Drosophila melanogaster: one gene and its partner. The protein of the gene in region 1 binds, or shares a complex with, the protein of each later gene. Each region holds a gene or a part of one and is shown on either strand. Other genes may lie near its edges. The genes, in order: EndoG and EndoGI. A codon is read from its position in the direction of its gene.

Region 1 (3,503 bases):
TGATTCTTTCAGCATTCGGAACATCCAAGGACAAGATGCTGGTCATCGAGGAGTGCAAAAACTCCAAGGCTGTGACCATCTTCTTGCGTGGAGGTAACGCCATGATCATTGCGGAGGCTAAGCGATCGATTCACGATGCCATCTGCGTGGTGCGTTCGCTTGTGAAGGACTCGCGTATTGTTTACGGTGGTGGAGCTGCCGAGATTAGCTGCTCGTTGGCTGTGGCCAAGGAGGCCGACCAACTGTCCACGCTGGAGCAGTACGCCTTCCGCGCCTTCTCCGTGGCCCTGGAGAGCATTCCGCTGGCTCTGGCGGAGAACAGCGGCCTGCATCCCATCGAGACGTTGTCGGAGCTGAAGGCCAGACAGGTGGCCGAGAAGAAGTCCAGCCTGGGTGTCGACTGCATGCTGTCGGGTGATTCGGACATGAAGAGCCATAACGTGGTGGAGTCGCTGCACTCGAAGAAGCAGCAGATTCTGCTCTCCACGCAGCTCGTCAAGATGATACTCAAGATCGACGACGTGCGCTCCAAGAACGAAGGCGGCATGTAACGACCGCCCAGCAGCAGCATCATACATCAGATCTAGTTTCAGATTCACATCCCCACGCTTCGCTATCTCTTCACGAACAACACCCGCGTCAAGCCTCATCTCTATGTACATCTGTATTAATTGTTTAATTTTATTAATCCACAAGTTCTTTGGAAAAGAAGAAAATTACATTAAACAAGGGGCTATCCCTGTTCAAATACACTAAAACGAAACTAAGACATCGACTAGACTTTCTTGCCATTGATGGTGGTTAGCTGCTTGCGATTGATTTGATCGAAGAAGAGCAATCCCGCCGAGCGTTCCACGCTCTCTGGCGGCACCTGAAACACACTGATGGGAGTGTCGTTGCTGATCACCTGATTGGGCATCACGTACGACTCCATGTGGAGTTTGTGGTCCGCGGACTCGCCCACAATAACCTTGTAGAAGTGGGTGGGAACAGCCACGGTGTTGGCGCCGATGACCTCGTACTTGACATACGATTTCCCATCGTCCTCCTTGTGCGGTAGGTACAGTGGACCCGTACAGACGTACACATTGGAGTAGGTCTTGGTCAGTCTGCGCACGTGTGCCTCCAGCGTGTTCCAGGCATCCCGGTTGAAGCCCTGGCCCACCTGTGGCGCCATGTTCGATAGGTAGAAGGTTTCGTCGCAGTGCTTCTGGTGCAGTCGGTGATTTCCAGCGGCGGCCATGTGCCCGCGATCATAGCCCGATCGTCGGTAGTCCGTGTTCTGTGACCTGAAGAACGGATGGATGCTCTCGTCCTGCTTGAAATCGCACTTCGATCTGTCCACGGCATCGTTCTTCGCCACCGACTCTGCCGTAAGGTGCTCGAACACCCAGTGGGGCACCCGGTTCCTCCGATCGTAAGACAGCACGTAGTCCGAATGGGAGCGCACGTGATCGAGTCCGGGAAATCCATACTTCATGATCTGTCCGATCCGAGACGGAGTTGCCGTCAAGCTTACATTGTTCTCTTGGGCGGGAATCAAACTGGCAGCCGAAACAGTTCCAAAGGTGGGCAGACCAGGCAGCCGCGGAAGGCCACTTGTGGAGCCATTGTGCTGGCGTTCGCGTTCCACGTGGGTGCCCAGATAAAAGGCGCCCAGGGCGGTGGCACCCAAAGCTAATACGCCACCCACTCGAGGAGCACTCATTTTGGCAGTTTTATTTAAAAATCTGGACAAAAAGACCAGATAGCGACCGCTATTGCACAATTCAGGTACTTTAGTGTGACCACAGTTTAAAGTGGTCGAACGAACTACAGTGAAAGACATAAATATATGCACGGATTGCTAAATTTGCTTGGGAAAATAAGTAAGTATACTATGTATATTTCATTAATGTATTAATAACTTAAAAAGGCGACGTGTGAGCTTTAACCGTAGCCCAAGTCGCAAATGGTGGTACTTACCAATTCCATATAGATAGATGGGCTTCGTGAACAGCAAGATATCCGAGCTCGAATAACTCGTCGTGGCAGTTCAAAATTCCAGGGCTGGATATCCCCTCGTCTTATGTGCTCTAATACACACTCGGCGTGTAGCAGGTTGTAAGAAATTCGCGTTTAAAATCAAATAACTTAGTGGGCGCTGCCATGTTTTAAAATTTATTCGATAACCGATCCCCGACTTAAAAGGAAAAGTGTGACCATCAATTTATAAAATTTAGCTTATATTTTGTAAAAAAATTGTTGCTTCTTTGTTTAGGAATTTTTAAGAAAAAGCAATTGTGTCGCAGAACAAAACGATGGCTAAAACAGTAATTTTAAAAAGGCATACAACACATATAAAATTATTTTTAAGGTTAAAGAAAGATTTTTATAACAGAATTAAAATCTTCTAATTTTAAAGCAATATTAGGCGAACCCAAATACATGCCATTGTACAATGTAGAATTTAATGTTAAATCATCTCTATGTTAAAATAACAAAATATAAACATTGTCAATTGGAAGAACGATTCAAAATAAGCAACTCGACCTAGATGAATGAAATAGTACAATACATGCCATTTTGTTGCTGAATGATAAGCTAAGATTTTGTTGAATTTTGGCTTAGTTGCATTCGGAAATATATTTACAACATTTTGAGCACACCCTCCAAGCACCCAATTTATAACCAGACTTTCTTATCTCAAACCCAAGCCAAAGATATTACATTGTATTGTGTGTATAAAATCCGAAGAAGGGGCATTTATTTCGCTAAAGATGCGCGTGGAATCGTGAACTACATGTAATCTCTTTCCGGTCCGGGGGCCACCTGCCGCTTTCTAGGATCCCACGATGATGTTGTTAATGGGAATGTGAATCAGCTTGACGAAGAAGCCGATGAAGCCCATGATGGCGAAGCCCACGGCGGTGGCGATGGCGATTTTCTGGAACTCCTTGCGGTCGGGTTTTGTGCAGCGCTTCACCAGGCGGATTGAGTCCTTGGCGAAGGCGCGTCCGGGTTCGGCGAATTTGACAACCTTGTCCATTTTTGATTTGTGAGTATTTAACTAAGAATTACCAATGAACTGAATTGATATTTATTTTGCTGCCGTGTCGCTTCTTGCAGTGTTACCAAGTTCCTCAGCTCAAAACATACTAAAAATTAACGCCTTTCCTTTAGTTGTTAATAAATTTTTTTTTTGGTTGAAATATAAGTGTATTTGAATTATTTTAATTTATTTTGAGTTTTTCTTTAAATTGAACCCATTCAATTATTACTTTGAAGCAAATCATTTAATGAACAGTTTTTAACAATTGATTTGGGCACACTACCCTACCCTAGCGTCGATGGAGGAACGGTGGATTTTTGAACATATGGACGTTTTCTATTTATTTATTTTTTCGTCATTTGGAAGTGAATTCCAAATTCCGTGCTCCGGAATGGCGTGCTTATAGGCTTACATTTGCCTAATTTAGTAATGATCCTGAATAAATGATCCCCTGATTAAAAAAGTTCTCCTA
Region 2 (4,254 bases), on another chromosome or scaffold:
AATGAAACCGAAAGAGATTCTTTTCTTTCTTTTGTTTGTATTGCCGTGGCCGGGGCACTATCATTGAACTTGTTCAAGGACAAGAGACCCCAAACGGAAATAAAAGGGAGAGAGCACAAGAAATCTGACAAGAGAACCGGTTAAAAAATGGATATCGTTGGGATTTTCAACCACCGGTTGGCGTATAATTGATATTCCTTTGGTGCGTATGGGACAGTTTCAGTTGCCAGGTTCCATTTCTATACCGCTTATACCGCTTTCAATACCAATTGACGCAATTTGCTGATATCGATTAGCAAACAGTGCGATCAAGATAAACACAGGTGGAAAAAATGCGAAAATTCGAGATAACAGCAAATCACAGCCAAACCTTGTTGAGTAACAACTGATTGTAAAATTGAAAGCTATGAACGAAGGCAATCTTTTTGCACTACAACTTTGCTCCGTCCACATTTGTTCAGTATAAAATGCCAACTGATTTGGCTGTTTTGTTCTAAAAAAAACAATTTCTCTCGGCCATGTCTTTTGTTTACTGTTTGCTCTGCCGCTTTGATATGATATAAATCTGCTCGAAATGTCTTCAACAGATTAGATATTAGATTAGAATCTACGTGTATGTACCTAGCAAATGACGTATGAAGATGATAAAAACTGCCAAAAAAAATAAGAGAAATAAACTTTAACTGGTGCAGTGCAAAATAGTTTTGGTCCCGTCCTAGTTCCGTTCGGATGGTAAAACTGGGTCAGCTGACATTTATTTTCAACTGGCGAAGGCAGTTAACCAGGTAACTGGGTCGAATGAAAGTAAAATGCGTGAAGTTACCCATTTATTGAAGTATATGATTGTTGTGTATGATAACAAATGGGACATTACATTACTTTCCTTAACGTTTTTTATGCAAGCACAGCAGAATTTGCAATTCGATTAATTTGATTGCGAAGAAAAGAATATTATTCATAGCAATTACACAGATTTGTTGGTATTTTGAGAAGAATACATTTAAAAAGTTCACATTCATATTTATAAAAAACGTAAACACAATTAGTTTATAACATATTCTAGTTTTACAAGATGACAATTGTTTATAGTTTTTGCACAGACAAATAAAAATGTAACTGGTTGATATATACTAAAAAAAAATTTAAACAAATTCCAGAAACTATTTCTAATGCCAACATGTTTTTTAAGACTATTTTTCGAATAAAACAAACAAAATCCAGTTAGAAATTGTTTAAACGAAAAAAATTGAATGTAAATGCCAACGCACGCACACAAGCACACATACTTTGTGGCTCAGTAGTTGTGCGAGTGTTCGTTGACGTTCGAAACAATTTATGCAACAAAAATGTATTATTTAAAAACTTGCGGCTGTAGCCGATCCCCTGCCGCACTTACCACAATTGCCATACACATTTGAGTATAACTTTTGAAGCTTTTTCGTTGCTTTTCGTGCACGAGAAAATTGAATTCACGTCCACACGCACACACAGACGCACCGCGAGACTCTCACCGACACGAATTCCACGAATGCAATTGGCTGGTGTGTGTTGCCTTTTACGACACAACTATTGCTCTTATTGCAACTGTAAATTGATTGTATCTTTAGCTTAAGTGTTTTTTATTGAATAGGATTGTTAAACTTTGGTTTTTCAGCGACATTAACGCAAAATTCATCTGCAGCTTAACCTCAAATTTCTTTGTGTCTGTCACGCACACACACACACAAACACAGTCAGCACGGGGCGGAACCAATGGTATAAGATGAATCTATCAATTTGACATGAATTAATCGGGCGAAAATAATATCTGTAGTTTCCAGCACGGATTGCACAATTTTTTCTACCGATTTCCAAGAGCAAAGTACTTGTAATCGAAGTAGGCGTTGCGAACAATTCGCTCGTTTGTGTTGGTAGACACGGATGGTGATTATATTCGATAATCTCGAACACTCGATAGAGCCGATAGTATCGAGTGCAATTAAGTGTTAGATAAACATCGATTGCGGGCAGAATCGATACTTTTTTGTAATAATTTAATTACCTATTTTGCAATTGTCTTTTAAAAACAGTTTTTTTTATTTTAAATGTAAGATGTGATTTTAAAGGAAGTTGTACAATATATATACATATATATTTATTTATAAACCGACATAAAATATATAATATTTTCAATATGTCACATACTTTCTTTTCTTATTCATCCAATAAGTCGTCTTATTTTGATTCTTGGTCTGTCCTTCCGAGAATATTCCAATTAAAATTATTCTCTATTGAAAAGAACTACCCTACTATTTACATTCGTAGTATCGCAACAGCAAGCGGCGATCTGAATTAGTCATCTTATCTCTTTCCGACAGAAGTGACGATCAATAGCCCAACGATTTTAAACGCTTTACTTCGAAGAACCTTAAATCGCCAATTTATCCAGAGGGGAATGTCCAAGCGCAAGGCCGAGGACACACAATCCGACAAAATGGCAACGGCCGAGAAAGTAGCACAGGTAATAAGCAACAGCCATAGAAAATAAACAAAAATAGTTTACAAACAATAACAACTATTGTCTGGACAGAACGATTACACCATTGGCCTGGTGGATCCCGTTAAGGATTACCAAAAGCTTATCGAAACACGCGTGCAGGTAGACGAAATCGTGGATGATGATGTCACCAAGGAGAATTTCGATCGAACGGCTGCAGCGGCGCGTGACGTCATCTGGCGGCTGTTATTCGACGAGGCCGGTACCTCGCAATCGAACACAGAGAAGGCCAGCCAATTGCTGGAGGAATACCGTGGTGACGCCTGCTTCTACGACCCGACGCCGTACAACGAATGGATTGTCAAGCTGAGGGATGAGGTTCTAAAGAAGGAACTCCTCGACTTTTGGCGCGATGTGCTGGTGAAGAAGCAACTCGGTCCCTGTTGGTCACGCGACAGTGATCTCTTTGACAGCGACGACACCCCGCCATTGGAGTTCTATGCCCATGCCGGTTGTACCGCTCCATTTGCAGCCAGCTTAAAGGTGCGCGCAGCACTCGAGGAGCAGGCTTCGCTGGATCAGGATGGGCCAGCGACGCCTACAACTCCGGGTGAACTGAGTGCCGATGATGCCGCCGCTCTGTCTGGCGAATTTGAGGCCACCCTGACCAAGGAAAATCCGCTCGAGGAATACCGAACTCTAATGAAGCGCTTTGTTCTGACCAAAATCATCGTTCCGGACAGCGTTCACCAGGCCAGCGTGAAGAAGATAGCGGCAGCCGCCAGGGAGATAATCTGGAAGCTGCTCTTCGATGGCACACCCTCAGCGGAGGATCAAAACAAGGCCGCCGAGCTGCTGCAGGAGTACAAGGGTGATGCTGGTTTCTATGGGCCCGACGACTACAACAGTTGGATTTTCAATCTGAGGGATGAGGTTCTCACCAAAGAGCTTCTCGACTTTTGGCGCGACAAGATGGTGAAAATGGAACTTGGTCCCAGTTGCGCCCGCGATTCCGACTATTACGACAACGAGGATCCGCTGCCATTCGAGTTTTACGAAAAGGCTGGTTGCAAGGCTCCCTTTGAAGGACCTGTAAATGATGATTAGTAGTGCATCTTTCATGACTGAAGGATTGTTTCCTTATGTACTAAAACACCTATTCTGGTCGTAATCTCTGAAGGCACACACAGTAAAGCATTTCAATATCTGAATTATGTTTCGAAATGTTAGAAATTGTTTAAAAATGAATAAAATGATAAGTATTTTATAACTGTTCTCAAAAATAGTGGTCCTTTTTATTATCTCGATCAGTAACAAATTATTTGTTCTCTTCATATTTCTTCAATAGCTTAAAGCATTTAAAATTTTGTAATATATATAAACTATAATAGCATATAAATTAAGGAACATTTTTCTTCATTTGATTTAAAATTTGTATCACGAATTTTCTTGAAATATTTTATGAGTATTCTTACATCTCCTGTTCTAATTAAGCATTATGCATCCTAAAACTTTTAAATTGTGTATTAAATGATTGTTTTTAGATACTTTTAATAAAAGTTGACCGATGTAGGTGGAATCCACATAAATAGTTTCAGCATAGTTTGTATTCATACATAGACAATTTTCGTAATTTCCTTTGAAGTTCTTAAATCCAATGGTTAGATTATTATGCTTAAATACTAAAATAAAATATGAAATACTTTCTTAAGTTAACTTTTAAATTCCGAACACAAAAATGAACTTTAATTAATTTTGAAACTATTACATACACTGAC

The links.
Region 2: the proteins of EndoG (region 1) and EndoGI are in contact, whole or in part, in a crystal structure (PDB 3ISM), measured with the Drosophila melanogaster proteins. Residues at the interface, in NP_610737.1 of Drosophila melanogaster: Arg124 (codon at 1,339), Cys127 (codon at 1,330), Asp128 (codon at 1,327), Phe129 (codon at 1,324), Lys130 (codon at 1,321), Gln131 (codon at 1,318), Pro137 (codon at 1,300), Arg140 (codon at 1,291), Gln142 (codon at 1,285), Asn143 (codon at 1,282), Thr144 (codon at 1,279), Tyr146 (codon at 1,273), Arg147 (codon at 1,270), Arg148 (codon at 1,267), Asp152 (codon at 1,255), Arg153 (codon at 1,252), Phe173 (codon at 1,192), Gln184 (codon at 1,159), Asn187 (codon at 1,150), Arg188 (codon at 1,147), Asp189 (codon at 1,144), Asn192 (codon at 1,135), Ala196 (codon at 1,123), Arg199 (codon at 1,114), Ala235 (codon at 1,006), Asn271 (codon at 898); in NP_001260489.1 of Drosophila melanogaster: Gln45 (codon at 2,636), Val46 (codon at 2,639), Asp47 (codon at 2,642), Ile49 (codon at 2,648), Val50 (codon at 2,651), Asp52 (codon at 2,657), Lys56 (codon at 2,669), Glu94 (codon at 2,783), Gly97 (codon at 2,792), Asp98 (codon at 2,795), Phe101 (codon at 2,804), Tyr102 (codon at 2,807), Ser141 (codon at 2,924), Arg142 (codon at 2,927), Asp143 (codon at 2,930), Ser144 (codon at 2,933), Asp145 (codon at 2,936), Leu146 (codon at 2,939), Phe147 (codon at 2,942), Asp148 (codon at 2,945), Ser149 (codon at 2,948), Asp150 (codon at 2,951), Asp151 (codon at 2,954), Arg174 (codon at 3,023).

What each region holds. Positions count from the first base shown.
Region 1 is NT_033778.4:12,176,766-12,180,268, forward strand, and holds EndoG (endonuclease G), read right to left. Parts: upstream 1,789-3,503; 5' UTR 1,709-1,788; coding exon 776-1,708; 3' UTR 665-775; downstream 1-664. Other genes in the region: CCT5 (chaperonin containing TCP1 subunit 5), read left to right, coding at 13-551; CG8860 (uncharacterized protein), read right to left, coding at 2,822-3,028.
Region 2 is NT_033779.5:16,255,680-16,259,933, forward strand, and holds EndoGI (endonuclease G inhibitor), read left to right. Parts: upstream 1-2,008; 5' UTR 2,009-2,086; intron 2,087-2,325; exon of another isoform or gene 2,326-2,357; 5' UTR 2,358-2,434; coding exon 2,435-2,500; intron 2,501-2,569; coding exon 2,570-3,583; 3' UTR 3,584-3,754; downstream 3,755-4,254.